Anolis sagrei: one gene and its partners. The protein of the gene in region 3 binds, or shares a complex with, the protein of the main gene of each other region. Links are inferred from orthologs where the notes say so. Each region holds a gene or a part of one and is shown on either strand. Other genes may lie near its edges. The genes, in order: TIMM10B, TIMM9 and TIMM22.

Evidence for each region.
Region 1: TIMM22 (region 3) and TIMM10B share a complex: the UniProt entries of both Homo sapiens proteins name them as parts of the TIM22 complex. The link is inferred for Anolis sagrei from reciprocal best matches to the Homo sapiens genes TIMM22 and TIMM10B.
Region 2: the proteins of TIMM22 (region 3) and TIMM9 are in contact, whole or in part, in a cryo-EM structure (PDB 7CGP), measured with the Homo sapiens proteins. The link is inferred for Anolis sagrei from reciprocal best matches to the Homo sapiens genes TIMM22 and TIMM9. Residues at the interface, in NP_037469.2 of Homo sapiens: Asp35, Arg37, Gln38, Pro39, Arg40, Leu42, Gly45, Ser46, Leu47, Gly49, Ile50, Ser52, Pro53, Lys60; in NP_001291414.1 of Homo sapiens: Gln13, Glu16, Phe17, Thr20, Leu57, Thr60, Gln61, Met65, Phe67, His71, Gln74, Asn75, Leu78, Lys81.

The regions. Positions count from the first base shown.
Region 1 is NC_090023.1:1,133,276-1,144,047, reverse strand, and holds TIMM10B (mitochondrial import inner membrane translocase subunit Tim10 B), read left to right. Parts: upstream 1-5,504; 5' UTR 5,505-5,553; coding exon 5,554-5,589; intron 5,590-7,634; coding exon 7,635-7,730; intron 7,731-7,835; coding exon 7,836-8,000; 3' UTR 8,001-8,038; downstream 8,039-10,772. Other genes in the region: ARFIP2 (arfaptin-2), read right to left, coding at 5,183-5,296; DNHD1 (dynein heavy chain domain-containing protein 1), read left to right, coding at 8,184-8,208. UniProt on the Homo sapiens protein: Component of the TIM22 complex, a complex that mediates the import and insertion of multi-pass transmembrane proteins into the mitochondrial inner membrane.
Region 2 is NC_090021.1:334,535,146-334,546,167, forward strand, and holds the start of TIMM9 (mitochondrial import inner membrane translocase subunit Tim9), read left to right. Parts: upstream 1-6,162; 5' UTR 6,163-6,256; exon of another isoform or gene 6,257-6,284; intron 6,285-11,022. Other genes in the region: KIAA0586 (protein TALPID3), read right to left, coding at 2,660-2,891. UniProt on the Homo sapiens protein: Mitochondrial intermembrane chaperone that participates in the import and insertion of multi-pass transmembrane proteins into the mitochondrial inner membrane.
Region 3 is NC_090031.1:29,074,112-29,085,589, reverse strand, and holds the start of TIMM22 (mitochondrial import inner membrane translocase subunit Tim22), read left to right. Parts: upstream 1-6,721; 5' UTR 6,722-6,832; coding exon 6,833-7,070; intron 7,071-10,848; coding exon 10,849-11,045; intron 11,046-11,478. Other genes in the region: SPECC1 (cytospin-B), read right to left, coding at 1,416-1,648. UniProt on the Homo sapiens protein: Essential core component of the TIM22 complex, a complex that mediates the import and insertion of multi-pass transmembrane proteins into the mitochondrial inner membrane. In the TIM22 complex, it constitutes the voltage-activated and signal-gated channel.

The DNA of each region.
Region 1 (10,772 bases), on a different chromosome or scaffold from region 3:
GTCAGTACAATAATAATAATAATAATAATAATAATAATAATAATAATAATAATATCAAACTGCAAAGACTGTGGCAAAAGCCAGTCAAGGGGGTCCCAGTGGTGATCAGCACACTGGGTGCAGTGCCTCAAGACCTTGGCCTGCACTTAAACACAATCAGTGCTGACAAGATTACCATCTATTAGTTGCAAAAGGCCACCCTACTGGGATCTGCATGTATTATGCGCTGATACATCACACAGTCCTAGTCACTTGGGAAGTATCCAGCGTATAATCCAATACAACAGCCAGCAGAGTGATTTTGTTTGCTGTGAACTCATCTTGTATGTGTATCAAATAATAATAACAATAACAACAATAATAATAACAACAATAATAATACTATAATGATTATTAAACAAATACAATATATCACACCAGGCCCATAGCCAGGATTTTGATTCAGGGGGGAGCGGGGCTGGGGATCTACCCTAGCAAACCTTTTGTATCGTTACCCCAATAATACCCCCTCTGTGCATCTGGGATATATGGAGCATGGTGATCAGATCACGATATGAATAAACATAACAGTTTAAATAATGTACCAGTAAGGCCTTTTCGCGAACCACCATGAGAATTTCGGGGGGAGGGGGGTGAAGCCCCTCAAGCCCCCCCCCCCCCCCCCCCCGCTCCAGCTATCACACAGTCCTAGATGCTTAGGAAGTGTTTGACTTGTGATTTTGTGATACAAAATCCAGCATATATACCTCGTTTGCTGCGATAGCGACATACTGTGTTTTTTGTGTCATTAGAATAATAATAATAATAATAATAATAATAATAATGAGCTGACATGATATGAGGATTTAAAGATCAAACTGCAAAGACTCTGGCACAATCCAGTCAAGGTGGTCCCAGTGGTGATTGGCACACCGGGTGCAGTGCCTCAATTTATTTATTTATTTCAAACATTTTTATCCCGCCCTTCTCAACCCCTGGGGGGGGGGGGGGGGAACGGACTCAGGGCGGCTTCCAATTGGCAATAATTCAATGCCGCATCATAAAATACAGAATAACAAATATAACAATTAAACACGAACATTAATAAATATAGATTAAAACAGTATACATACACTCTGATTAGCGATTGCCCGCCTGGTGGCTGTTGAGCTAGCCATCTAGTAATGATTACTCCGCTTAACTTATCCAAATCCTCTTCCATGCCAGAGTCAAACATTATCCATTGCCTGGTCCCACAGCCACATTTTCACCTTTTTTCTAAAGGCGAAATGTCAGGAGGAAATGCTGCCAAACCACAGCCATAATAATTATTATTTTACCGACACAAAACCACAATATGTCACAGCAAACGAGATCTCTATGCTAGGTTTCGTATCACAAAATCACAAGTCGATCCCTTTCCCAAGTGTCTATGACTGCGTGATGACGACTGACCATTGTAATTATATGACTGTATTTTGCCTTTTATTGTTTTACTGTAATTTGGAATACGATGTTTTTAATGATTGTTGTAATATTGATGTTGGAAACCGGCCTGAGTCCCTCGATGGAGGTGAGAAGACCGCTATACAAAACTGCCAAATAAATAAATGTATCAGCGCATAATGCATGCAGATCCCAGTAGGGTGGCTTTTTGCAACCAATTGATGGTAATCTTGTCAGTGTCGATTGTGTTTAAGTGCCGGCAAGACCTTGGCCTGCACTTAAACACAAGTGGCGTCAACTGCAAAAGGCCACTCTATTCAGATCTGAATGCATTATTATTCGATACATCACACAGTCATAGACACTTGGTTCCAGACTAAGCACAACCCTGGAACACCTCAGCAAGCGAGAGTCCAAAAGTGGCAGGCTCAAACCCAGAACTGATACCAGATGAGAGACTCCCCCCTGGGCACACAGAGGACTGGGCGACTTGGAAGGCGCTGAACAGACTGTGCTCGGGCACCACGAGATGCAGAGCCAACCTCCAGAAATGGGGCCACCAAGTGGAATCCTTGACATGCGAGTGTGGAGAAGAGCAAACCACTGACCACCTGCTACAATGCCACATGATGCACCAGGGAGGACCTTCTTGCAGCAACACCAGAGGCACTCCAAGGGGCCAGATACTGGTCAAAGGACATTTAACCAACTACCAAACTCACAAGTTGTGTATTTTGTCTGTTTGTTTGCTTTGTTCTGTTAGAAATGTAATATAATTAACTGGTTGCCCTGACACGACAAATAAAATAAAATAAAATAAATCATCATCATCATCATCATCATCATCTATATCCTGCTTTATCTCTCCCAAATGGGACTCAAAGCAGTAATAATAATAATAATAATAATACTTAATAATATTGTTATCATATATATTTATACCCCACTTTATCTCCAGCCCATCCCGTTTGGATATCAGCCAGCACATCAACGACTTAAATCTAGAAATAGTTTTCTAAGATCTACAGAGACATTCGCTGGAACCCCTCAGCAAGCGAGAGTCCAAAAGTGGCAGGCTCAAACCCAGAACTTCAACCAATGGCTGATACCAAATGAGAGACTCCCCCCTGGGCACATGGAAGACTGGGCGACTTGGAGGGCGCTGAACAGACTGTGCTCTGGCACCACGAGATGCAGAGCCAACCTTCAGAAATGGGGCTACAAAGTGGAATCCTCGACATGCGAGTGCGGAGAAGAGCAAACCACTGACCCCCTGCCACATGCACCAGGGAGGATCTTCTTATAGTAACACCAGAGGCACTCCAAGTGGCCAGAGACTGCTCAAAGGACATTTAACCAACTACCAAACTCACAAATTCTGTGTTTTGTCTGTTTGTTTGCTTTGTTCTGTTAGAAATATAATATAATTGACTGCTTATTTATTTTATTTATTTATTTGCTTTATTTCTATACCGCATTTTTCAGCCCAAAAAGGCGACTCAATGCAGTTTGCTTGCCGTGAAACGACAAATAAATAGACACTTAGGAAAGGGATCGACTTATGATTTTGTGATATGAAACCTAGCACAGAGATCTTGTTTGCTGTGACATATTGTGGTTTTGTGTCAGTAAAATAATAATAATAATTATGGCTGTGGTTTGGCTGCATTTCCTCCTGACATTTCACCTGCTATTCGAGCACCACCACAACACCAATAATAATAATAATATTATTAAAAGTAATAAGGGTCCCTGCTTAACCCCTCCCCACCCCCACCCCCCACCCAATCTCCCCAGGTAAGCCCCTCCCTCCATTCACCTGCTCGAGGCCATTATCCTCTGAGTGGTAATAATAAGTGTCCAATAATAATAATAATAATAATAATAATAATAATAAGTGTCCATCGTGTGACCCAGTACAACAGCCAGCAGATTGTCTGCTGTAGTGTTATCCTGTTGTGTTTCTAATAATAATAATAATAATAATAATAATAATAATAATAATAATAAGTGTCCAATGTGTAATCCAATTCAACAGCCAGCAGAGTGTCTGCTGTGGACTCATCTTGTTATGTTTCTAATAATAATAATAATAATAATAATAATAATAATAATAATAGTCCTAGGCACTTGGGAAGTGTCTGACATGTGGACTCATCTTGTTGTGTTTCAAATAATAACAGTAATAATAATAATAATAATAATAATTCAACAGCCAGCAGAGTGTCTGCTGTGGACTCATCTTGTTGTGTTTCAAATAATAATAATAATAATAATAATAATAATAATAATAATGTGTCCGACATGGGATCCAATGCAACAGCCAGCAGAGTGTCTGCTGTGGACTCATCTTGTTATGTTTCTAATAATAATAATAATGATAATGATAATAATAATAATGTATTGTGGAAAGCTTTCACGGCTGGAATGACGGCTCTCTTGTGTGCTTATCCAGGTTGTAGGGCTGTGGTCTGGCACCATTTCCTCCTGACATTTCGCCTGCTATTCAAGCACCACCACAACACCAATAATAATATTATAATATTATAATATTACAATAATAATATTATGACTATGAGTAATAAGGGACCCTGCTTGACCCCTCCCCACCCCCAATCTCCCCAGGTAAGCCCCTCCCTCACTTGTGTGCTTATCCAGGTTGTAGGGCTGTGGTCTGGCAGCATTTCCTCCTGACATTTCACCTGCTGTTCGAGCACCACCACAACACCAATAATAATATCATTACTACGAGTCATACGGGTCCCTGCTTGACCCCTCCCCACCCCCCACCCACCCAACCTCCCCAGGTAAGCCCCTCCTTCAATTCACCTGCTCGAGGTCATCATCATCTGAGGGACCCCCACCACCCCCCACCCAATCTCCCCAGGTAAGCCCCTCCCTCAATTGTGTGCTTATCCAGGTTGTAGGGCTGTGGCCTGGCAGCATTTCCTCCTGACATTTCGCCTGTTATTTGAGCACCACCACAACACCAATAATAATAATACTATTAATGGTAATAAGGGACCCTGCTTGACCCCTCCCCACCCCCACCCCCACCCCCAGCCCCCATCCAATCTCCCCAGGTAAGGGCTGTGGTCTGGCAGCATTTCCTCCTGACATTTCACCTGCTATTCGAGCACCACCACAACACCAATAATAATACTATTACTGAGAGTAATACGGGTCCCTGCTTGACCCCTCCCCACCCCCCCCACACCCAACCTCCCAGGTAAGCCCCTCCCTCAGTTGTGTGCTTATCCAGGTTGTAGGGCTGTGGCCTGGCAGCATTTCTTCCTGACATTTTGCCTGCTACTCAAGCACCACCACAACACCAATAATAATATTATTACTACGAGTAATACGGGTCCCTGCTTGACCTCTCCCCATCCCACCCACCCAACCTCCCAGGTAAGCCCCTCCCTCAATTTACCTGCTCGACCGCCCCCCACCCCCCCACCCAATCTCCCCAGGTAAGTCCCCCCCTCAATTCACCTGCTACCCCACCCCCTACCAACCCAACCTCTCCAGGTGAGCCCCTCCCTCCATTCCCCTGCTACCCCACTCCCCACCCACCTAACCTCTCCAGGTGAGCCCCTCCCTCAATTCACCTGCTCGAGGCCATCATCTTCTGAGGGACCCTCACCCCACCTCACCCCTCACCCACCCAATCTCCCCAGGTGAGCCCCTGCCTCAATTCCCCTGCTACCCCACCCCACCCCCACCCACCCTCTCCAGGTGAGCCCCTCCCTCAATGCACCTGCTCGAGGCCATCATCCTCGGAGGTGGTGGAGGGTCCCATCCGCCGGGAGTCTCCGTTGCCGTGGATGGGGACCTCCATGGTGGCCGCCTTGCTCATCAGCCCCTCCGTCATCCTGGACGAGGAGCAGGAGGGGGACAGGTGAGCTTGTGTACCTGCCTCCCAGGTGCACAGGTGCGCTCTAGGCCCCTCCCTCTTCCTTCCCTCCCTCTCTCCCGGAACTGGGGCCACGTCGCCTTCCTCCTCCTCCTCCTCCGCCGCCTTGGGCCCCCGGGAGGACCGGAAGCGACGTCACGGCGGCCCCAGGGTCGGGGGGAGAGAGAGGAAGGAAGGAAGGAGTCAAGGGGGAAGCAAAGCGGAAGTGACGCAGGATGGCGGAGAGCGAGCAGCAGCAGCAACTGCGCAGCGTGAGTCTTCCCAAACAAGGGGGCGGGGCTTCCCATCCTTCCCTCCAGGCGCTTTGGACTACAACTCCCACAATTCCTAACAGCCGGGACGGCTGTTAGGAATTGTGGGAGTTGTAGTCCAAAGCGCCTGGAGGGCCCAAGCTAGGCCTTGCTTCCCTAACGCTTGGGCATTGTGGGAGTTGTAGTCCAAAGCGCCTGGAGGGCCCAAGCTAGGCTCTGAAGGAGATCTTTGCTTTCCTAACACTCTGGAATTGTGGGAGTTGTAGTCCAAAGCGCTTAGAGGGCCCAAGCTAGGCTCTGAGAGAGGGCTTGGCTTTCCTAACACTTGGGGATTGTGGGAGTTGTAGTCCAAAGCGCCTGGAGGGGCCAAGCTAGGCTCTGAAAGAGATCTTTGCTTTCCTAACGCTTAGGGATTGTGGGAGTTGTAGTCCAAAGCGCCTGGAGGGCCCAAGCTAGGCTCTGAAAGAGATCTTTGCTTTCCTAACGCTTGGGGATTGTGGGAGTTGTAGTCCAAAGCGCCTGGAGGGCCCAAGCTAGGCCTTGCTTCCCTAACGCTTGGGCATTGTGGGAGTTGTAGTCCAAAGCGCCTGGAGGGCCCTAGCTAGGCTTTGCTTCCCCAACACTTGGGCATTGTGGGAGTTGTAGTCCAAAGCGCCTGAAGGGCCCAAGCTAGGCTCTGAAAGAGATCTTTGCTTCCCTAACTCTTGGGGATTGTGGGAGTTGTAGTCCAAAGCGCCTGGAGGGCCCAAGCTAGGCTTTGCTTCCCTAACACTTGGGGATTGTGGGAGTTGTAGTCCAAAGCGCCTGAAGGGCCCAAGCTAGGCTCTGAAAGAGATCTTTGCTTCCCTAACTCTTGGGGATTGTGGGAGTTGTAGTCCAAAGCGCCTGGAGGGCCCAAGCTAGGCTTTGCTTCCCTAACACTTGGGGATTGTGGGAGTTGTAGTCCAAAGCGCCTGGAGGGCCCGAGCTAGGCTCTGAAAGAGATCTTTGCTTCCCTAACACTTGGGAATTGTGGGAGTTGTAGTCCAAAGCGCCTGGAGGGCCCAAGCTAGGCTCTGAAAAAGATCTTTGCTTCCCTAACTCTTGGGGATTGTGGGAGTTGTAGTCCAAAGCGCCTGGAGGGGCCAAGCTAGGCTTTGCTTCCCTAACACTTGGGGATTGTGGGAGTTGTAGTCCAAAGCGCCTGGAGGGCCCAAGCTAGGCTCTGAAAGAGATCTTTGCTTCCCTAACACTTGGGAATTGTGGGAGTTGTAGTCCAAAGCGCCTGGAGGGCCCAAGCTAGGCTTTGCTTCCCTAACACTTGGGGATTGTGGGAGTTGTAGTCCAAAGCGCCTGGAGGGCCCGAGCTAGGCTCTGAAAGAGATCTTTGCTTCCCTAACACTTGGGAATTGTGGGAGTTGTAGTCCAAAGCGCCTGGAGGGCCCAAGCCAGGCTCTGAAAGAGATCTTTGCTTTCCTAACACTTGGGGATTGTGGGAGTTGCAGTCCAAAGCGCCTGGAGGGCCCAAGCTAGGCTTTGCTTCCCTAACACTTGGGGATTGTGGGAGTTGTAGTCCAAAGCGCCTGGAGGGCCCAAGCCAGGCTCTGAAAGAGATCTTTGCTTTCCTAACACTTGGGGATTGTGGGAGTTGCAGTCCAAAGCGCCTGGAGGGCCCAAGCTAGGCTTTGCTTCCCTAACACTTGGGGATTGTGGGAGTTGTAGTCCAAAGCGCCTGGAGCGCCCAAGCTCGGCTCTGAAAGAGATCTTTGCTTCCCTAACACTTAGGAATTGTGGGAGTTGTAGTCCAAAGCACTTGGAGGGCCCTAGCTAGGCTCTGAGAGAGGAATTTGCTTTCCTAACAGTCGGGAATTGTGGGAGTTGTAGTCCAAAGCGCCTGGAGGGCCCAGCTGGGCTCTGAGAGAGGGATTAGCTTTCCCAAAACTGGGGGATTGTGGGAGTTGTAGTCCAAAGTGCCTGGAAGGCCTGAGCTAGGCCTTGCTTTCCTAACACTTGGGGATTGTGGGAGTTGTAGTCCAAACGTCTTATCTGTCTCCTTCCTGTTCCAGCTGCGGGACTTCCTGCTGGTCTACAACCGGATGACGGAGCTCTGCTTCCGGCGCTGCGTCCCGGGATTACTCCAGCGAGGCCTAGACGGGAGCGAGGTGAGGGCAAAAGGCGCCGGAAGTGCGGGGGAAAACCACTTCCTGTGGCTTCTTCCGCCATTCTGATCCCAGCGGTGCCTCTCTTTCCCTCTCTCTCTATGGCAGGAGGCGTGCCTGGAGGGCTGCGCGGGGAAGCTGGTCCGCTCCAATCAGCGCCTGATCTCGGCCTACGTGCGCCTCATGCCAGTCTTGGTCCAGCGCCGCCTGCAGGAGGGCGGGCCCGCCAAGCCGGAAGGGGAGGAGCCTCCCACGCCCGGAAGTGGGGACTGAAGCAATGCCCTTACTCAAATACAAACGCCTTTTCCTCCTCCAAGCCTCCTCATTGGTTGAGCTCACCCAAAGGGGAGGGACATCCTCTGCACGGCTAGAGCGGACTTCCGGAAGGGCGGGAGGGGGGACGTTAGGCTTCCTTAGCAACGCCCCTGGCAACGCTCACTCTCCTCCTCAGCAGCCATGGAGTCTCCCGCGCCAGAGAAGGGTAAAGCAAGGCCAGGGGGGCCCTGAGCATGTGCAGAGGGCATTGTGTACAGCAGTGGCTCGTTGTAGGCTTTCCTGGCTGTGTTCCAGAAGCACTCTCTCCTGACGTTTTGCCCACATGCACAGAGATAGTGAATTCAGCTTGATTAGCGTTTAATGGCCTTGCAACTTCAAGGTCTGGCTGCCTGCTGCCTGGGAGAAGATTTTCTTTTGCCCACATCTATGGCAGGCATCCTCAGAGGTTGTGAGGTCAGCTTGATTAGCGTTTAATGGCCTTGCAACTTCAAGATCTGGCTGCCTGCTGCCTGGGAGAAGATTTTCTTTCCACCATCCTGGACATCATTCCACCTCTGAGGATGCCTGACATACATGCATAGAATGCTCCTGGAACGTGGACACACAGCCCCGGAAAACTTATGGCAATCCACTGCAGAGAGTTCCACTGCTGAACGGTTCCGAGCCCCTATAAAAGAGAGGGCGGTCTAGGAACAATGTATTGTTATTATTATTGTGTTGTCAAAGGAAGGCTCTCACTGGGTTGCTGTGAGTCTTCCGTCTGGCCCTCTTCTGGAAGGAGACTCTAGTCCGCTCCACTGCAGAGAGTCCCACAGTTGAACAACTCTGAGTCCCCATGGGGAGAGACAGCGGTTTACAAATGAAGTATTATTATTATTATTGGGTTGTCGAAAGCTTTCATGACTGGAATCACTAGGTTGCTGTGAGTCTTCAGTCTGGTCCTCTTCCGGAAGGAGACTCCAGTACACTCCACTGCAGAGAGTTCCACAGTTGAACAGCTCTGAGCCCCTATAAAGAGGGCGGTCTAGAAACAAAGTATTATTATTATTGTGTTGTCAAAGGAAGGCTCTCACTGGGTTGCTATGAGTCTTCCGTCTGGTCCTCTTTCGGAAGGAGACTCCAGTCCACTCCACTGCATAGAGTTCCACAGTTGAACAGCTCTGAGTCCCTATAAAGAGAGAGAGCGGTCTAGAAATAAAGTATTTCATTATTATTGTGTTGTCAAAGGAAGGCTCTCATGGCCGGAATCACTGGGTTGCTGTGAGTCTTTCGTCTGGATCTCGTCCAGAAGGAGACTCCAATCCACTCCACTTCAGAGAGTTCCACAGTTGAACAGCTCTGAGTCCCTATAAAGAGAGAGGGTGGTCTAGAAACATTGTTATTATTATTGTGTTGTCAAAGGAAGGCTCTCATGGCCGGAATCACTGGGTTGCTATGAGTCTTCCGTCTGGACCTCTTCCGGAAGGAGACTCCAATCAACTCCACTGCAGAGAGTTCCACAGTTGAACAGCTCTTCAGTCCCTATGGGGAGAGAAGGCGGTCTACAAATGAAGGATTATTATTATTATTATTATTGGTTGTCGAAAGCTTTCATGAAACTTACGGCAATCCACTGCAGAGAGTTCCACTTCTGAACAGCTCTGAGTCCCTATAAAGAGAGAGGGCGGTCTAGAAACAAAGTATTGTTGTTATTATTATTGTGTTGTCAAAGGAAGGCTCTCATGACCGGAATCACTGGGTTGCTGTGAGTCTTCCGTCTGGACCTCTTCCAGAAGGAGACTCCAATTCACTCCACTGCAGAGAGTTCCACTGCTGAACAGCTCTGAGTTCCTATAAAGAGAGAGGGCGGTCTAGAAATATAGTATTGTTATTATTATTGTGTTGTCAAAGGAAGGCTCTCACTGGATTGCTGTCAGTCTTCCGTCTAGCCCTCTTCTGGAAGGAGACTCCACTCCACTGCAGAGAGTTCCACAGTTGAACAGATCTGAGTCCCCATGGGGAGAGACTGCGGTTTACAAATGAAGTATTATTATTATTAATGAGTTGTCGAAAGCTTTCATGACTGGAATCACTTCCAGGTGGAAGGCGGTCTCGGTCAGGGTGGGCTTGACGTGCCTTCCTCTTGGCACGTTTCTCTCTTTCGCCCTCCATTCGTGCCTCTTCAAATTCTACAACACTGCTGGTCACAGCTGACCTCCAACTGGAGCGCTCAAGGGCCAGGGCTTCCCAGTTCTCAGTGTCTATGCCAGAGACTTTAAGGTTGGCTTTGAGCCCGTATTTCAATCTCTTTTCCTGCCCATCAACATTCCGTTTTCCGTTCTTGAGTTCGGAGTAGAGCAACTGCTTTGGGAGACGGTGGTCGGGCATCCGGACAACGTGGCCGGCCCAGCGGAGTTGATGGCGGAGGACCATCGCTTCAATGCTGGTGTTCTTGGCTTCTTCCAGCACGCTGTTTCCCCGCCTGTCTTCCCAAGAGATTTGCAGGATTTTCCAGCGCTGATATACACACACAACACACACATACGCAGACTGGGTTACAGCAATACTTGGCAAGGGGGCGGCTAGTCAATCAATAAAAACATAACACAGACACAACAACAGCATCATAAAAACAACAACATGGCTGTAAACGGAGTCAGAGCTGGGTCCGTGCTCAAGGAAGTGCAATAAGTTCCTAGGTAGAGCCCAGGGAAGGTGCAAAAAGTATCAGTCTAGAGCAGTGGTTCTCAACCTGGTGTCTCCAGATGTTATTGGCCTTCAACTCCCAGA
Region 2 (11,022 bases), on a different chromosome or scaffold from region 3:
TTCTGAGTCTGGCAGGGGTGGATTGATGGGATCTTGCTCGGGTGGGTGGGTTTGGGCCTCAGTTTGGTCTTCCTGAGGGCGAGAGAGTGTGGCCGTGGGAGGCGCACGGGGGGGCTGAGGGTATCTAGGGTCCTCCAGATGGGAGGCATCAAAGCCCCTATAGTGATCAGGGTGGGGAGGATAATAGAAAGGGTATGGTGGGAAGGGAGGAGGAGGGGGATAGAGGTGGTAAGGGTACTCTGGGTACCCATATGGTTGAAAGTGCTCAGAGGAGCAAGGACGGGGCCTTTTGAGAGGAGGAGAGGAGGGCGCTGTCGGTTCCGCCTCAGGAGAAGGGGATCGGCGGCGGCGGCGGGAAGATTGCGCAATCGGCGCAGCCGGAACGGGGGAGGGAGTTTCTCTCGGGGCCGGGGCTTGAGGAAGAGGGGATGGGAGGGGGGAGGCTTGGGAGAGAGGAAGCGGAGGAGGAGAAGCCGATCGGCCTGCAGAGGGCTGGGCTTCCAACTCCAGCTGAGGGGCCAGGAGTTCGAGCGGAGGGAGGTGGGAGGGGTCATCCAGTTGGAGCATGGTGGGGAGTGGCTCCTGGAGGTGCAGCACGGATCCGGAGGAATGGGGCATCGGTTCCAGTCTGGGAGGACTCAAGGACTGTGTGTCAGTGAGTTGCCGTCCCTTTTTCTGTTTATTTGCTTTCTCTTTTGTTTTCCCCAGCCTCGTGGGCTGTTTGGGGAGTTTTTGTTTCTTTGCAGGCGGTTCCACAGGGGAAACAGTTGCCTGATCCAACTCATGCCTTTCCCCAATGCGTGGGGAGGGAGGCTGAGGGGGCTCTATCAATGGGGAAGAGAGGGAGGGAGTGGGGAGGGATTGTGGAGCCAGAGCGCGCTCATACAACAGAGCTTTCAAACGGGCATCTCTTCCTTTACGAGCCCTTGTAGTAAAGCTTAAACAAATCTCACAAGATTGGAGATTATGGGATTCTCCCAAACAAAGGAGGCATCTTGAGTGCCTATCAGCTTCGGGGAGGGTGGCCCCGCAAGCTGAGCAATTTTTGAAATAAAGGGAAGACATCTAGCCTGAGGGTGAAGAAAAAGAGTTGTCAGCCGGTCCGAGTCGAGGGTGGAGAAAAGAGGCAACCAAAGTCCAGAAATCAGTCCAAGTCAGTCCAGTTAGTCAGAGGAAATCGAGGAGGAGTTGTTCCGAGATGCTGCTAGTTTAGCGCGGAAAAGGAAACTAGATAATGGCGGCGCCGCTCGGCGCTTATATCCAGGGGGGCGGGGGAATGGGCGGGGCCTAGGTGGCTCAAATAATCATTTTTAATTCTTTAAACTTAGAAATGTTCCGAGTTTCTGCGCATGCGCAAAGAAGAACCCATAGGTGCGCATTTCACGGACGACACGAAGAATAAATGATTTTCTACAAATTGGTCTTTCCAGGAGTTGTAATAATTTATTTATTTGTTATTAATTTATTTACTTCATTTCTACCCCAGAGGGTACAAATCCGGCAAAAATTTAATGCTGCACAGATAAACAATAACATATATCTCATCAAAATATAAAACAATATAAGCATATAAGCAATTAAAGTACATAGTAATCAATCAAACAGATTAAAAACCATCTAAAATTCTGAGTCATGATCTCATATCCATAACAATAATAATAATAAAAAGAAGAAGAAGAAGAAGAAGAAGAAGAATTGTATTTCTTGTTTTGCATAAACTGCCAAACAAGGAAAACAGAAACAAACTGGAAGTGATCAGAACTTTATTTATTTATTTATTTATTTATTTACAGCATTTATATTTGCCCTTCTCACCCCAAAGGGGACTCAGGGCAGATCACAGAACACATACACGGCAAACATTCAATGCCGTTTGACATACAGGACAGACAGAGGTATTATGTGGGCATTTTTCCCAACTTCAGCATCCCGGAGGTTGTCCTCAATTACGACCTCAGGGCAGAGCCCTTGGTCACAGACTTCCTCCTGTCTTTTGATTGCCGACATTTTCCAGTACTTCCTTTTTATGGTGCTGTAAAATACCTTCCCACTTAAGCGGTGCCTAATTTCTCTACTCACAGCTGTTTTTGAACTGTCTAGGTGGACAGTAAGCTGAGCTGAAGGTCAGGTGCTCACCCTGATCCAGTCTTCAAACTGCCAAGCTTTCGATTGGTAAGATCTATTGCTGCTGGTGATTAACCAGCTGTGCTATAGCCCGGCTCACTTTTAGTTTTAGATAACAAGGTATTTTAAATGAATACATATATGTATATATTTCAAACACTGCAGAGAATGTTCTTGAGAACTATTTAAAAGATTAATCACCATTCCTGCAGGTTTCCATAAATTGCCAATTCACCATTTTTGGCAGTCCATGAGAGCTTAAGGAAGCTACAATAGCAATATTTGAGAGGTTACATTTTCCCTGCCCTGAATTAAACCCACAGCAACCGAAACAGGATGTTGCCCCTCTTTCCAAGAGGTCTGGGATATGAAAGGAGAAAGGAGACAGAGCAAGCAAAGGCCAAGAGCAAATCAGATGAAGCAAAGCAAGATGGGAAGGGGACATTTATAATACTCAACATGTGGAAGACATTCACAGTCAACTGGACTTCTGACCTCTAAAAGATTTAGACTTATACAATACTAACAAATGTACCTGCTGTGGTGCCTTCAGATGTTTCTGTTGTTGTCTTATGAGATTCAGGTTTGTTAGCCACCAAGGCTGGTGGAATATAAACTCCATCATCCCTTACAGAGAACACCAGAGGGTGGGGCGGAGCTATTTCTCGAAGCCTCTTCACAGAGATGGAGACCTTCTTCTTAGCACAAGCAGCAGGCTTGCCATCTGAAGTCAGTGCTGGCTGAGTGTCAAGATGTTTCTTCTTCATGTGGAAGTTGGGAAAGATAAGGTTGTTGACAGCAGAGGGTCTAATCAAAGGATCTTCGGCCAGCAGTCCTTTCCAATCACATTAGCAGCTCACAGCCAACATTTCAGCTCTTGCTCCTTTTAAGCAAAGCACAAAACTAGTTGATGGACTATTGAAACACAAGATTAGTTGATGCAATTAAAAGGTAACAGGAAAGAACAGAAGAACATGGAGGAATATGCATGATTCAAACTCCATACTACGGTTACTGCTTATTATTATGACAATAATAAACACAAGATTATGCTCAAGTCACACTCATGTCACCAAAAGGCCTACAACAGAACATCCCTGGGTAATAGTATGATAGCTGGGTTCGGAAGCTCATTCCGCAAAGGCGGTTGTAAATAAGGGAAGGGGAGAGCAACACACTGAGGGTGGGAATATACTTCAAAGTTGTATCTGGTGGAAGAATAGAAAGGAGGGGAGGGTTAGAATAAGGTTTAGGGTAAAGTTTAGGGTAAGGATTAGGGTTAGGATTAGGGGTAAGATTTAGGGGGTTAGGGTAAGGTTTAGGATTAGGATAAGGGTTTTAACATTAAATAACTCTTACATTCCTGCTATAATATCTGTGTTTTGTTCTGCGTTGCGCAAACAGAGCTCCCGAAGGAGTGAAGCGGAAACAGCATAACGCTCAGAGCTTCCGGACCCAGCTTTCATACTATTTTCGAAGGCTTTCATGTCCAGAATCACTGGGTTGTTGTAGGTTTTTTTGGGCTATATGGCCATGTTCTAGAGGCATTCTCTCCTGACGTTTCGCCTGCATCTATGCCAAGCATCCCCAGAGGTGAGTATGCATGCCCGGTGTGGAACACATCTCACCACGCTAAAACAGTGGATGTGGCTCTTAATGAGACATGCCGCATTATCACAGGGTGTCTGCGCCCTACACCACTGGAGAAATTACACTGTTTAGCCGGTATCGCACCACCTGACATCCGCCGGGAAGTGGATGCCAAGAGTAAAAGGACCAAGGCAGAGACATCTCCAGCTCATCCCCTGTTTGGGTATCAGCCAGCACGTCAACTACTTAAATCAAGAAATAGTTTTCTAAGATCTACAGAGACACTCACAGAAATACCCCAGCAAACGAGAGTCCAAAAGTGGCAGGCTCAAACCCAGAACCTCAATCAATGGATGATACAAAATGAGAGACTCCCTCCTGGGCACACAGAAAACTGGGCAACTTGGAAGGCGCTGAACAGACTGCGCTCTGGCACCACGAGATGCAGAGCCAACCTTAAGAAATGGGGCCACAAAGTGGAGTCCACGACATGCGAGTGCGGAGAAGAGCAAACTACAGGCCACCTGCTGCAATGCAACCTGAGCCCTGCTACACGCACAATGGAGGACCTTCTTGCGGCAACACCAGAGGCACTCCAAGTGGCCAGATACTGGTCAAAGGACATTGAATCAACTACCAAGCTTGCAAATTCTGTGTTTCGTCTGTTTGTTTGCTTTTGTTAAAAATGTAATACAAATGTCTGGTTGCTGATGACACGATAAATAAATATCCCCAGAGGTAGTAAGGTCTGACCTCACTACCTCACTAGATCAGACCTCACAACTTCTGAGTATGCTTGCCATAGATGCAGGCGAAACGTCAGGAGAGAATGCCTCTAGAACATGGCCATATTGCCCGAAAAAAACTTACAACAACCCAGTTTCATACTATTACCCATACCTGAATGCTGCAGTTTGAAACTGCATCATGTGGTCAGTGTAGACTCAAAATGTAGTTCAAGATAGTTAAACCACATTATATGGATCCATACTGTTTCGAGCTGCATTATATATGTAGATAGGGTTGCTGTGAGTTTTCCGGGCTGCATGGCCATGTTCCAGAAGGCAGGAAGCAGCCAGTCTTTGAAGCTGCAAGCTGTGTATAAATATGTGAGAGGAAGCCACAGGGAGGAGGGAGCAAGCTTGTTTTCTGCTTCTCTGGAGACTAGGACGCAATGGAACAATGGCTTCAAACTACAAGAGAGGAGATTCCATCTGAACACGAGGAAGAACTTCCTGACTGTGAGAGCTGTTCAGCAGTGGAACTCTCTGCCCCGGAGTGTGGTGGAGGCTCCTTCTTTGGAAGCTTTTAAGCAGAGGCTGGATGGCCATCTGTCAGGGGTGATTTGAATGCAACATTCCTGCTTCTTGGCACAGTGGGGTTGGACTGGATGGCCCATGAGGTCTCCTCCAACTCTTTGATTCTATGATTCTATGCTAATCAAAATGGCCAATTGCAACATTCACAGCTAACTCCAACAGATAAGAGTTCTTTCTCCCACCCTGGACATTTATTCCACAGGTATATAAACCCCACTTGCCTAGTTTCCAGACAGACCTCACAATCTCTGAGGATGCCTATCATAGAATCAAAGAGTTGGAAGAGACCTCATGGGCCATCCAGTCCAACCCCATTCTGCCAAGAAGCAGGAATGTTGCATTCAAATCACCCCTGACAGATGGCCATCCAGCCTCTGTTTAAAAGCTTCCAAAGAAGGAGCCTCCACCACACTCCGGGGCAGAGTTCCACTGCTGAACAGCTCTCACAGTCAGGAAGTTCTTCCTCATGTTCAGATGGAATCTCTTCTCTTGTAGTTTGAAGCCATTGTTCTGCGTCCAGTTCTCCAGGGAAGCAGAGAACAAGCTTGCTCCCTCCTCCCTGTGGCTTCCTCTCACATATTTATACATGGCTATCATATCCCCTCTCAGCCTTCTCTTCTTCAGGCTAAACGTGCCCAGCTCCTTAAGCCGCTCCTCATAGGGCTTGTTCTCCAGGCCCTTGATCGTTTTAGTCGCCATAGATGTGGGAGAAACGTCAGAAAAGAATGCTTCTGGAACATGGCCATGCAATGCAATGATTCCAGCCATGAAAGCCTTCATCAACACAAAGAATTACATAAAGAAGTAACTACAGGAAAATACTTATTGAATTATGCCTCCACAAGTACTCCCCACCTTCCTTTTTGTTCCCCAGGTAGATACCCCTCTGCTCTGGGTTGCCCAGCGGCCTCTAACCGGAAGCCTCGGTCGCTATGGTAACAGCAGGCAGGGCTCCCGCCACTTCCAAACCGACCTGCATGCTTTGCTTTCCCAGTCCAAGACAAGCCGCGCATGCGCAGTAGCTTTCCCAATTCAAGACAAGCCGCGCATGCGCAGTTCTAGATTTCCTATTACAAAGGCTTGGGTTGGAAATGCGCATGCGCACCCTCCAATTCCGTTCCTTCTTGATAGTCGTCCGGGTGGAAACCGGGACCCTTTAAGGCGATGCACCCCCACGTGGTCGATGGAAGGAAGGAAGGATCCGCAGCCATTGCAAGAGGAAGGTGAGAAGCAAGCAAGCCAGGAGGGAAGGTTTTAGGAGTTGATTCTTTGTGCTAGAAGTATTAAACGGGGAAGGGTTGTAGCAGGCCCCTTCTACACTGCCATACAAGATAATCCGGATTATATGACTGTGTAGACTCATATGATCCAGTTCAAAGCAGATCAAGTGAATGATCTAAACGATAATCCGGATTATATGGTTGTGTAGACTCATGATCCAGTTCAAAGCAGATCAAGTGAATGATCTAAACGATAATCGGGATTACATGGCCAAGTAGACTCATATAATCCAGTTCAATGAAGATCATGTGGATTATCTACTCGATAATCCGGATTATATAGCCGTGTAGACTCATATGATCCAGTTCAAACCAGATCATGTGGATTATTGAGTCAATAATCCGGATTATATTGTCGTGTAGACTCATGATTCAATTCAAAGTAGATTATGTGAATTATCGACTCAATAATCCGGATTATATGGCCATATAGACTCATATTATCCGGTTCAAAGCAGATCATGTGGATTACTGAGTCAATAATCCAGATTATATGGACGTGTAGACTCATGATTCAGTTCAGAGCAGGTCATGTGGATTATCTACTCGATAATCCGGATTATATGGCTGAGGAGACGCATGATCCAGTTCAGAGCAGAGTATGTGAATTATCTACTCAATAATCCGGATTATATGGCCATATAGACTCATGATCCAGTTCAAAGCAGGTCATGTGGATTATCTACTCGATAATCCGGATTATATGGCCGTGTAGACTCATGATCCCGTTTAGAGCAGATCATGTGGATTATCTACTCGATAATCCGGATTATATGGCTGAGGAGACGCATGATCCAGTTCAGAGCAGAGTATGTGAATTATCTACTCAATAATCCGGATTATATGGCCATATAGACTCATGATCCAGTTCAAAGCAGGTCATGTGGATTATCTACTCGATAATCCGGATTATATGGCTGTGTAGACTCATGATCCCGTTTAGAGCAGATCATGTGGATTATCTACTCGATAATCCGGATTATATGGCCGTGTAGACTCATTATCCAGTTCAAAGCAGATCGTGTGTATCATCTCAATAATCTGGAGTATATGGCCGTGTAGACTCATATGATCCAGATCAGAACAAATCATGTGGATTATCTCCTCAATAATCCGGATTATATAGCCATGTAGACTCATGATCCAATTCAAAGCAGATCATGTGGATTTTCTATTCGATAATCCGGATTATATGGCCGTGTAGACTCATATGATCCAGTTCAAAGCAGATCGTGTGGATTATATGGCCGTGTAGACTCATATGATCCAATTCAAAGCAGATCATGTGAATTATCGAGTAGATAATCCGGATTATATGGGCCTGTAGACTCATATGATCCAGTTCAAAGCAGATCACGTGGATTATCGAGTAGATAATCTGGATTATATGGCTGTGTAGACTCAAATGATCCAGTTCAAAGCAGATCATGTGGATTATCTACTTAGATAATCTGGAGTATATGGCCGTGTAGACTCATATCCAGTTCAAATGCAGATTGTATGGATTATATGGTCGTGTAGACACATATAATCCAGTTCAAAGCATATAGTGTGGATTATCTACTCAATAATCCGGATTATATGGCCGTGTAGACTCATATGATCCAGTTCAAAGCAGATCATGTGGATTATCTACTTAGATAATCTGGAGTATATGGCTGTGTAGACACATATAATCCAGTTCAAATGCAGATTGTATGGATTATATGGTCGTGTAGACACATATAATCCAGTTCAAAGCATATAGTGTGGATTACCTACTCAATAATCCAGATTATATGGCCGTGTAGAGTCATATGATCCAGTTCAAAGCAGATCATGTGGATTATCTACTTAGATAATCTGGAGTATATGGCCGTGTAGACTCATATCCAGTTCAAAAGCAGATCGTACGGATTACCTACTTGGATAATCTGATTATATGGTGTAGACACATATAATCCAGTTCAAAGCATATCGTGTGGATTATCTACTCAAATAATCTGGATTATATGGCATTTTAGACATATAATCCAGTTCAAAGCAGATCATATGGACTATCTGCTTTGATAATCTGGATTATATGGCAGTGTAGAAGGAGCCCAAAACTTTTGATTAGTAAAACTAATGGATGTCTGCGGTCGACAGGCAGTGTGTCCATCTACACTGCACTTTGATCCCACTTTAACTGCTATGCCTCAGTACTGTGTGATCAGTGAAGCTCTAGTTTTACAAGGTCTCTGCTGAAGGGTTGGTTGTACCTCGCCGAACTACAATTCCCAGAATTCCATCGAATTAAGGGGTTTTTTTATCGTGTCAGAAGCAATTTGAGAAACTGCAAGTCGCTTCTGATGTGAGAGAATTGACCATCTGTACAGACATTGCCCAGGGGACACATGGATGTGTTACCATCCTATGGGAAGCTTCTTTCATGTCCCCACATGGGAAGCTGGAACTAACAGATGGGAGCTCACCCCATCTCGCAGATTCAAACAGATGACCTTCAGGTCAGCATTTCAGCCGGCACAAGGGTTTAATCCTATGGGAGGCTTCTTTCATGTCCCCACATGGGAAGCTGGAGCTAACAGATGGGAGCTCACCCCATCTCGCAGATTCGAACTGATGACCTTCAGGTCAGCATTTCAGCCGGCACAAGGGTTTAATCCTATGGGAGGCTTCTTTCATGTCCCCACATGGGAAGCTGGAGCTAACAGATGGGAGCTCACTCCATCTCGCAGATTCGAACTGATGACCTTCAGGTCAGCAGTTCAGCCTGCACAAAGGTTTAATCCTTTGCACCACTGCAGCTCCTGCATTAAGCTCATTGTAGTTAAAATAGTGTCAACTCAAGGATGGAAAAGAAGAAGGAAATATCGAGATGGGAGGGATTTTGTTTTCTTTTTTGGTCACATTTTCATCCTATTGAGGGTGCATCTACACTGTAGTATTAATGTAGTGTAACCCCACTTTAACTGCCATGGCTCAATATTATGGAATGCTGGGATTTGCTGTTTGGCAGAGAAGGCTGAAGACCTTGTCAAACTCCATAACATAACAATGAGCCATGAAGTGAAAAGATGTCAAAACTGCATTAAATTCTGCAGCCGAGATGCACCCTGGGCTTTTGGGTCCCTTGCTGCTTTCTAGCACTGTTTTTCAATAAGAGAGGTCTGCAAGCATTCATTATGACCTTGACAGTCCTTAAAACTGCTAGCAAGCTCACTTCATTCGGGAAGCAATTAATTTGGAAGAGACACTAATCTCAATTCTTGGCATGGATATCCTGCACTGTTTTGTAAAAATTCTTTCTCCGTTCCGCTGCATTCCTTGTTTTAATAGATACACTATAGTCGCCATTATGTGGCAGCATGCTAATATGGATTTCAAATATTCACATTAAAATTGCAGCTGGAAAATGTATGTATAGTACAAGATTTGCATGTTTGTGTAAAACAGCTGTGGTTGAAGACATGTATGTGGTATTGTTGGGTGATTAATACAAAAAAAAAATAAGTGCTTGCAATTTCTCTTCTAATTTAGTTCATTGTAGCTAACACTGGACTAACCCAGTCTAGATGTCACTTAAGCTCTGGCCATGTCTACTTATTTATTTATTTGCCATATTTATATATTGTATATACTCGAGTATAAGCCTAGTTTTTCAGCCCCCTTTTTAGGCTGAAAAAGTTTTCCTCGGCTTATACTCGAGTCAAGGTTATTTATTAGTTTACTTTGTTATTAGTATCATTTTATTACATGAATTATTTAAATATAATTATTATTATTATTATATTTACATTATTTTACTCTACAGTATTATTATTTTATTACATTTATTATTAGAGTTATTTTTATATTATATATATATATATATTATATTATTAGTATTAGTATTATTATTTATTTACTCTTTATTATTATTACATTTATTATTTTACTTTATTTTTATTGTTACTGCATTTATAATTTTACTCTGTTATTACTGTTATTACATTTCCATTATTTTACTCTATTATTATTATTATTATTATTATTATCCTGACACAAAACATAGTATGACACAGCAAATGAGGTATATATGCTGGATTTCATCATCATCATTATTATTTATTTATTTACTTACTTACTTTACTTGTATACCGCAGTTTCTCAGCCTAGCGGTTTACAACAAGGTACAAAAGTCAACAATATACAATTTAAAACCATAAAAGCATAATACACAATATTGGCACAACAATAACAATCCAATGCATCTCATGACTAAAATCGTGATCCAGTTTCGTTGTCCATATTACCATTCCTGTAATCATCACATTCATTGCACCGATTAACCAAATGCCTGTTCGAACATCCAGGTTTTTAATAATAACACTCCCTTTGTTATTATTGGAGGGATACATAAGCACATTTACACTGAAGATTAGAATAACGATTTAATCAGAGCTGGACAGTCTTATCTTAAATTACAGTTTTATGTAAATATTCAAAAACATTTAACCTACTGATGCCTCAATTAATGTAATTTTATTGATATCTATTTTTATTTTGAAATTTACCAGTAACTGCTGCATTTCCCACCCTCGACTTATACTTAAGTTTTCCCAGCTTTTTGTGGTAAAATTAGGTACCTCGGCTTATATTCGGGTCGGCTTATACTCGAGTATATATGGTACTTGGCCACAGTAGTCCACGCTCTGGTTGCATCCCGTATAGACTACTGTAATTCGCTC
Region 3 (11,478 bases):
TTATTCTATATTTTATTTTATTTATTATTGTTTTATTCTATTTTTATAATTTATTATTCTATATTTTATTTTATTTATTATTGTTTTATTATAATTTTATAATTTATTATTCTATATTTAATTTAATTTATACTTTTATTATATATATATATTCTTTATATTCTTTTGTTATTATAATATATATTTTTATTTATTATTATTTTATTATATTTTCTTATATTTATTATTCCGTTTCTTATTTTATTCTATTCTTTTATTATTATTATATATATTATTATTATTATTATTATTTTATTATATTTATTATTCCGTTTCTTATTTTATTCTATTCTTTTATTATTATTATATATATTATTATTATTTTTATTATTTTATTATATTTATTATTCCGTTTCTTATTTTATTCTATTCTTATATTATTATTATATATATTATTTTTATTATTTTATTATTTTTATTATGTTTATTATTCCATTTCTTATTTTATTCTATTCTTTTATTATTATAATATATATTATTTTTATTATTGTATTATATTTTATTATGTTTATTATTCCGTTTCTTATTTTATTCTATTCTTTTATTATTATTATTATTATTATTATTATTATTTTATTATATTTATTATTCCGTTTCTTATTTTATTCTATTCTTTTATTATTATTATATATATTATTTTTATTATTTTATTATTTTTATTATGTTTATTATTCCATTTCTTATTTTATTCTATTCTTTTATTATTATAATATATATTATTTTTATTATTGTATTATATTTTATTATGTTTATTATCCCGTTTCTTATTTTATTCTATTCTTTTATTATTATTATACATATATATTATTTTATTATATTTTATTGTATTTATTATTCCGTTTCTTATTTTATTCTATTCTTTTATTATTATTATATATATATTATTTTTATTTTTTATTATATTTATTATTCCGTTTCTTATTTTATTCTATTCTTTTATTATTATTATTATACATATATATTATTTTATTATATTTTATTGTATTTATTATTCCATTTCTTATTTTATTCTATTTATTATTATTACATGTATTATTATTATTATTAATTTTTACCTTTAGACGCATCTCTTGAACATTATTATTATTATTATTATAATTATTATTATTATTATTATTATTATTATGAGAGATAGAGGAGCACAATCCCTTCCATAAGAGAGAAAAGGCAGAAGCAAAGCCAAGCCGTAGGATTTCCCCCTTTTGAACAATCAGGCAGAAGCTTAGCACAAATGACAGCTCCCCCCATTGAAACAAATGAGAGCCCTTTCCCTTGCAGCCTTGGAAGCAGCAGATGTGCCAAGCAGCCAGAGCATCTCCTTCCCTGGGAGAGATCCCATAGAGACGGATGGGAAAAGGATGCCAGGTGGCACTCACCCTCCTGCTTCTGCCGCATCAACAGGATGGATGGATGGAAGGAAGGTAGGGATGCAGCCAGGCTGGCGGATGGAGGGTGCCTCTCTTTCTCTTCCTTTCTCTCTTCCCTTCCTCCTTCTCTCCTCCTCTTCTGCATTCAGAGGGATTTCCTGCAGAGAAGCCCATGCATCTGCATCAGGAGGAAGCCCAGCCGAACCTGAAGGAGGAGAGGAAAAAGGGGAAGCCGGGGTCATGTGATGCCATACATGCCACCCAAAAGAACCCTGGGTTCGAATCCCACCTCAGCCATCTCACTATTGTTATTATATATTATATTTAATATTATTATGATATATTTTATTATATTTCTATTCATCATTATTATATATTTTATTTTATTCTGTTTATTATTATTATATGTTTTATTTTATTATTCCATTTTATATATTCTGATCTATTTAATATTTTATTTTTTATTATTTTATTCTATTTCGTATGGTTGTTCTATTTATTCTTATATATTTTATTTTATTTATTATACATTTTCTTTTATTTATTATTTATTTATTATGTCTATTTATTCTATTTTATTATTCTATTTTGTTATATATATATAGATAGATATAGAGAGAGAGATTATTCTGTTTAGTATTGTATTGTATTAATATTATTCTATTTTGTTCTATATTTTATTGTTATATGTGTTATATTTGTTATTGTTTCTCTTTATATATAATTTTATTCTATTTATTATAATATATTTTATTGTATTATTATATAGCTTATTTTCTTATATTTGTTATTATTTTCTTATCTTATATTTTATTCTATTTATTATTAGATGTTTTATTTTATTTATATTTTTATATATTTTATTTATTATTCTATTTGTTATATATATATATATATATATATATATATAATTTTATTCTGTTATAGTATATATAATTTTATTATATTTATTATTATTCAATTTTTTATTTTATTTATTCTATATTTTATTTTATTTATTTTTATTATTATATATTTTATTTATTATTCTATTTGTTATTTATATATATAACTTTATTCTATTTATTGTGGTATATATTATTTTATTATATTTATTATTCTATAATACTTAATATATTATATTTTTATTATTATTATTATATATATATAATTTTATTATAAATTTTATTTCATTTATGATTCTATGTTATTATTTTATTCTATTTAGTATTATTAAATTTATTATTATTATCATTATCCTGCTTCTTCCCTTTAGATCGAGATGTATTTGAACAGTGATCCATAGGTTGCAGTGGGGTCTACCTGCGGGGTCACTTCACCCCTTCCCAGAACCAACAGAAGTGATTATTTATGTTATTCCGATCGTATTTTGTGCCTGTTTTCTCTCCCTTGCAAGGCGTAGTCGAGGCGTCTTCCAGGCAGAGAGTCCCATGATGTGGCCAAAGGCTAAATTCGGCCTCGTGCCCACAAGGAAGGCAGCCTCGCCCTCCTAATGACAGGGCCTCCTTTTCTCCCTCCAATTATCCCCGCCGTCTCTCATCCAAATGTATTTCTGGCTTTGCGGTGGCCAAATGAGAGGATTTGTTTCGAAGCCGAAGAGCCGGCGTTCTCGCAGGAGCAGTACCTATTGATCTACTCACATTTGTATGTTTTCGAACTGCTAGGTTGGCAGAAGCTGGGGCTAATGAAACAATGGAGGATTTTAGAAGGGACTGGCCCTGTAGGAGAGACCCTGCGGACCCACCAAAGAAGGATCGCTACAACGGGGAGCAAAGAGAAGCCCAATTTAAGATAATTTCCCTCGGTTCCCAAAAAGAATCTCGCCAAAGTTGAAGAAAGCGCCACTGAGATGATTTTATTGCAATTCAGCTAAGCTAAAGCATAGCATGTACACAAATAAATGCCATTTTTATAGAAATACAGAGTTGTGTGGTTCAAATCTCCCGCTCTCTGCTCTTGCTCGGCTTGAAGGTGATTGGCTGGGAGGAGGCTCGGCCGCCCCTCGAGCACCTGGGCCAATCACAGGGCTTCTGCGGTGCACCAGAGCCAATCAGGAGGCTTCTGCCGCCTAGGTGCTCCAGCGAATCAGCAGGGAAGGAGGCGGGACAAGGGAATACAATGCATTCTTGAGTGGATTATGGTATCAGGAAATGTCCAGGGGCCAATTCAGCTGAAAAGGATGCAAAGCAGCAACCTTTCGCCAAGCTAAAGCATAACATGTACACAAATAAATGCCATTTTTATAGAAATACAGAGTTGTGTGGTTCAAATCTCCCGCTCTCCACTCTTGCTCGGCTTGAAGGTGATTGGCTGGGAGGAGGCTTGGCCGCCCCTTGAGCGCCTGGGCCAATCACAGGGCTTCTGCGGTGCGCCAGAGCCAATCAGGAGGCTTCTGCCGCCTAGGCACTCCAGTGAATCAGAAGGAAGGGAGGCGGGACAAGGGAATACAATGCATTCTTGAGTGGATTATGGTATCAGGAAATGTCCTGATACGAATCCTAAAATGGCCTACGAGCTAAGCTTTACTAATGACTGGTGATTGAGTAAAATAAACATTATACCAACATAGTCCGGGTTTTCCTTTTACACCAAAACAGAGGAACAACGGGGGAAACTTAAGTGGATGCCTTCAGTGAGAGAGTTGAATGGGTGACAGGTCAGGAGGGGGAAGCTTTCCAAAGGTTTCCCCTTGTCCTATTGTAATATTTACACACTATCTGTCATGGGAAGGGTCCTTGTTGTTGTTAGTGTCTTGGCAAATTGATCAAGGCTTAACCCTTATTATCCAGTCTGGTGTCCTTGTCCTTAGCAAAACTATAAGTTACTATCTTTTATGGGGGGGGTGTGTGAGTGTGTCATGTTCGACTTCACTAACGATAGCTCACCCCGCTCCCTGGATTTGAACCACCAACCTTTCAGTCAGCAAGTTCAGCAGCTCAGTGGTTTAACCCACTGGGCCACCTGGGGGCCCTAATATTAGATTAGGTATTATCATTTCTATTATTACTATTATTAGGTATTATTATTATATGTATTATTAAGAATATTACATTAGGTATTATCATTACTATTATTACTATTAGGTATTATTATTATATGTATTAATAATAATAATAATTATAATATTATATTAGGTATTATCATTTCTATTATTACTATTATTACTATTAGGTATTATTTCTATATGTATTAATAATAATATTATATTAGGTATTATAATTTCTATTAGTACTATTACTATTATTACTATTACGTATTATTATTATATGTATTAATAATAATATTATATGAGCTATTATCATTTCTATTATTACTATTATTAGGCATTATTATTATATGTATTAATAAGAATATTACATTAGGTATTATCATTACTATTATTACTATTAGGTATTATTATTATATGTATTAATAATAATATTAATTATAATATTATATTAGGTATTATCATTTCTATTATTACTATTATTACTATTAGGTATTATTTCTATATGTATTAATAATAATATTATATTAGGTATTATAATTTCTATTAGTACTATTACTATTATTACTATTACGTATTATTATTATATGTATTAATAATAATATTATATGAGCTATTATCATTTCTATTATTACTATTATTAGGCATTATTATTATCATTTCTATTATTACTATTATTAGGTATTATTATTATATGTATTAATAATAATATTATATTAGCTATTATCATTTCTATTATTACTATTATTAGGTATTATTATTATATGTATTATTAATAATATTATATTAGCTATTATCATTTCTATTATTACTAATATTAGGCATTATTATTATATGTATTAATAATTATATTATATTAGCTATTATAATTTCTATTAGTACTATTACTATTATTACTATTACGTATTATTATATGTATTAATAATAATATTATATGAGCTATTATCATTTCTATTATTACTATTATTAGGTATTATTATTATATGTATTAATAATTATATTATATTAGCTATTATCATTTCTATTATTACTATTACTACTATTAGGTATTATTATTATAATATGCATTAATAATAATATTATATTATGTAATCTCATTTCTATTATTACTATTACTTCTATTAGGTATTATTATTATTATGTATTAATAATAATATTATATTAGGTATTCTCATTTCTATTATTATTTTTAGGTAATATTATTATTATATGTATTAATAATAATATTATATTAGGTATTATAATTTCTATTATTACTATTATTACTATTATTAGGTATTATTATTATTATTATTATTATTATTATATGTATTAATAATAATATTATATTTAGTATTATTATTTTATTATTAGTACTATTTGGTATTATTATTATATGTATTAATAATATTATTATTATTTTAAGTAGTATTATGTCATTTATTCGTATTATTACTATTACGTATTGTTATATTAAGTATTATTATGTTTATTATTTCATTATCACTCAAGCAAGAGGGACTCCATCTCCCTTGAGCCTCTGCGGCAGGGATTCCCATTGGAAACAATATTGCTATAGGGCGAAGGGCATGACGGGAGGTGAAGTCTGCGAAGTTTTACAACATGGCGCCCTTTCTAGGAAGAGGACTCAGTTTCCCTTGAGCCTCTGCGGTAGTGATTCTCATTAGAAACAATATGGCTGTTCCGCGAAAGGCAAGATGGGAATTGCAGTCTGCGAAGTTTTAGAACATGGCGTCCTTTCAAGCAAGCGCTCAGGGTGTTTAGTGGACTCCATCTCCCGCGAGCCTCTGCGGCAGGGATTCGCATTAGAAACAACACGGCTGTTCCACGAAAGGCAAGATGGGAATTGCAGTCTGCGAAGTTTTACAACATGGCGTCCTTTCAAGCAAGCGCTAAGGGTGTTTAGAGGACTCCATATCCCGCGAGCCTCTGCGGCAGGGATTCGCATTAGAAACAATACGGCTGTTCCGCGAAAGGCAAGACGGGAATTGCAGTTTTGTCAACACGGCGTCCTTTCAAGCGAGCGCTCTGGGTGTGTAGCGGACTCCATTTCCCGCGAGCCTCTGCGTTAGGGAGTCTCATTAGAAACAATACGGCTGTTCCGCGAAAGGCAAGATGGGAATTGCAGTCTGCGAAGTTTTACAACATGGCGTCCTTTCAAGCAAGCGCTAAGGGTGTTTAGAGGACTCCATATCCCGCGAGCCTCTGCGCCAGGGATTCGCATTAGAAACGATACCAATGTTCCGCGAAAGGCAAGATGGGAGATGTAGTCTGTGAAGTTTTACAACATGGCGTCCTTTCAAGAAAGAGCTCAGGGTATTTAGTGGACTCCATCTCCCTTGAGCCTCTGCGGCAGGGATTCCCATTGGGAGCAATAAGGCCGTTCCGCGCAAGGCCTGACGGGAGACGGAGTCTCGGCCTCTGAGGGAAAGCGAGCACGATGGCGGCGCCGTCTCCTTCTCCCTCGGCGGGGTCCGAAGAAGCGTCGCCGGCAGGGCTGCAGTACAGCGTGCTGCTGGAGCACCTGGTCGGGGAGAAGCGCGGGCCTCGTCCCGGCCTGGAGACGGCGGCCTTGGCCTTGGCGGGCTTCCCTTCGCCGGTGAAGAGCGCCGAGCAGAAGGCGGTGGAGCGCGCCATGGAGAGCTGCACCTTCAAGGCCGCCTTGGCCTGCGCGGGAGGTGAGCTAGGCCGCAAGAGGGCCGGCACGCCACGCAAGGGCTGCTGGGAGGGAGGGAAGAGAGCAGTCGTGGCGCCATCTTGGGCGCCCTTAGGCAGTGTGTGTGTGTATATATATATATATATATATTACATCTAATAGCTAGGAAAAATAAATAAATAAATATATATATTTCTCAATAATTCAGGCATAAAATATAATGCACAATATCTAATAAAATACAATAAATATAAATAAATATGTTATAAAAAATAATATTCTGTAATAAATATATCTAACTTCTGAAATATATATATTTCTCAATAATACAGGCATAAAATATGCACAGTATGTAATAAAATACAGTAAATATAAATAAATATGTTATAAAATATAATATTCTGTAACTAATATATCTAACTTCTGAAAAATAATTAATTAAATAAATATGTTATAAAATATAATGTTCTATAATAAAAATATGTAACTTCTGAAATATATATATATATTTCTCAATAATACAGGCATAAAATATATAGCACAACGTGTATATTGCAAATACAATATAAATATAAAATATAATGTTCTGTAATTAATATATCTAACTTCTGAATATATATATATATATATATCTCAATAATACAGGCATAAAATATAATGCACAATGTATAATAAAATACAATAAATATAAATAAATATGTTATAAAACATAATGTTCTGTAATAAATATATCTAACTTCTGAGATATATATATATATATATATATATATATATATATATATATATATATAATACAGGCATAAAATATAATGCACAATATGTAATAAAATACCATAAATATAAAATATAATATTCTGTAATAAATATATCTAACTTTTGAAATATACAGGCATAAAATATAATGCACGATATGTAATAAAATACAATAAATATAAATATGTTATAAAATATAATGTTCTGTAATAAATATATCTAACTTCTGAATATATATATATATATATATATATATCAATAATACAGGCATAAAATATAATGCACAATGTGTAATAAAATACCATAAATATAAAATATAATATTCTGTAATAAATATATCTAACTTCTGAAATATATATATATATATATATATATATTTCTCAATAATACAGGCATAAAATATAATGCACAATGCGTAATAAAATGCTATAAATATAAAATATAATATTCTGTTTATATATATATATATATATATATATATATATATATATATATATATATATATATGTCATGTTCGTTTGTGGGATAAACATCACTCAAAAACCACTGGACAAATTGACACCAAATTTGGACAGAAGACACCTATCAGGCCAACAAGTGACTATCACTCATAAAAACGCTGAAAAATGCAGTGGAAGGGACTTAAAAGGCCAAAAAACAAAAAAATGAATTACAACGCATGTGCAAAACTACATATATACACATATATATACACACACAAAACACATGTGCATATATATATATATATATATATATACACACACACACACACATATATATACACATATATACACACACAATACACATATACACAGACTGGGCCACAGCAACGCATTGCTGTGGTCCAGTCTATGTATATGTGCTATGTTTGCATGTGGTTTTGTGCATACATTGTAATGTATTTTTATTTTTTGGCTTTTTAAGTCTCTTTCACTGTGTTTTTCAGTATTTCTATGAGTGATGGTCACTTGTTTGCCTGAGAGGTGTCTTGTGTCCAAATTTGGTGTCAATTCGTCCAGTGGTTTTTGAGTTATGTTAATCCCACAAACAAACACTATGTTTTTATTTGTATAAATATATATATACTAGCCGAACCCTGCCACACGTTGCTGTGGCCCAGTCTGTGTATATGTGTTTTGTGTGTATATATGTTTATATGTGTGTGTATATTTGTGTATATGTGTAAATATGTTGTTTTGCGGATGAATTGTAATGTAATTTTTTTTTTTTTGCTTTTAAAGTCTCTTCCACTGTGTTTTTCAGTGTTTTTATGAGTGATGGTCAATTGTTGGCCTTATAGGTGTATTGTATCCAAATTTGGTGTCCATTCGTCCAGTGGTTTTTGAGTTCCCCCGGGGAGATAGAGCAATATATAAATAAAGTTTTATTATTTATTATATTATTATGTTAATCCCACATACGAACATCACATCTTTATTTATACAGAATATATATATATATATAGAGAGAGAGAGAGAGAGAGAGTATCTGTATATGCAGTATATAAATACTGTAAATAAATAAACTATATATATATACTCTGCATGTATACATAGTATATATAATAAAATATAAATAATATACAAAATAATATGGTAGAAAATAATAAATAATAAAAGTAAAATAAAATTTAAAAATATATAGTGTCTGTATACATGGTATATAATATAATATTAATATAATATAATAAATATATTGTGTCTGTATACATTTATTTTTATTTATTTATTTAGTTATTTACTTTGTTTATATACCGCTGTTCTCAGCTCGGGGGCGACTCACAGCGGTGTACAACATAGAAAGAACAAGGTTCAAAATTCAAGACACAATATAAAATGATCCACAATCCAGCATGGTGCCCTTGAAGTGACTGGCTTGACTCTGAAGGAGCTGGGGGTGGTGACTGCAGACAGAGAGCTCTGACATGGGTTGGTCCGTGAGGTCACACAGAGTCAGAAGCGACTGAACGAATAAACAACAACATACATGGTATATATAAGAGTCATACGCACTGCCCCGGAGTGTAGTGGAGGCTCCTTCTTTGGAGGCTTTTAAGTAGAGGCTGGATGCCATCTGTCGGGGGTGCTTTGAATGCGATGTTCCTGCTTCTTGGCAGAATGGGGTTGGACTGGATGACCCACAAAGTCTCTTCCAATTCTAGGATTCCATGATACAAAATAATATATACAATAATATTAATAAATAATATATTAAATATAATTAACCGTGTGTGTCTAGCCCCATTCAATCACCATTTATCTATCTAAACACATAGTAAAAGTGAAAATATGTATGTATGTGTGTGGCTGGGGTGTCCACAAACACTAGGTTCTTGTGGGTTTTTTCGGGCTATAGGAGCTCTTCCCTTGCCCCACCCCAGCCATTCCACAGATATATAAACCCATTTTCCTACTTCCAACAGACCTCACTACCTCTGAGGATGCTTGCCATAGATGCAGGCGAAACGTCAGGAGAAATGCCTCTAGAACATGGCTCTATAGCCCGAAAAAACCCACAAGAACCTAGTGATTCCAGCCATGAAAGCCTTCGACAATACATTGTCCACAAACAGCTATAGCTCCCACTACTCAGGAGACACCAATTTGGGCCCACTGCCTCTTCCTTAACCCTTTCCTATTCTTTTCTATGGCACACAGCAAACAGAGAAGTTGATCAGTAACTGAACATACTAAAGAGGTTTGGGGAGAATTCACCGTATTTTATGGGAGTTGTAGGTCCACAGGGCCCCCATGACCAACAAAATGTACTGGAGATCTTTGGAAGAAATTCACTTGATTTGGGGGAGTTGTAGTTCACCTACATCCAGAATGCTCTATGAACCCAAACAATGATGGATCTGGACCACACTTGGCATGAATAGTGTTGGAAATAATTGATAAAATATATATTATTATTATTATTGTGGTCAATAATCAGCCCCAAAGAATAGAACAACTGTCAAAATAGGAACATGACATGCATTTAGGTATTAGGAAACCTTGTCATTCATCGTCACTTCTGTTTATTCCTCTTCCCATTGCTCGCAGGCTTTGTTTTGGGGGGTGCCTTCGGAGTCTTCACGGCCGGCATTGACACCAACGTGGGCTTCGACCCCAAGGACCCCCTCTGCACCCCGACCGCCAGAGAGGTCCTCAAGGACATGGGGCAGCGGGGGATGTCCTACGCCAAGAACTTTGCCATTGTGGGCGCCATGTTCTCCTGCACCGAGTGCCTGGTCGAGTCGGTGAGCTCTTCCTTTCCGTGCTATTTATGCCCTTTTGTAAGAGTTCTCTGCAGCAGGATCCCATCTCATTATATGTTTCCCCCGTTTCGTATTACGCTCACTCAATTTTCCCGTTTGTATTCCATGCACAAAGAAATGCATTATCGTTATTATCTTATTGTTATTATTATTTTTATTATATGCGCAAAGAAATGCTTTATTATATGTAATATCATTAATGTATTATTATTACATGCACAAAGAAATGTCTATATTATATATTATTAAATTATTGTACTATTACACGCACAAACAAATGCTTTATTGTATTATAATTAATATATTATTACATACACAAATGCTTTATTATATTATTATATTATTATTCCATGCACAAATGCTTTATTATTGTGTATTTTTATATTACATTACATGCACAGAGCTGCATTATTAT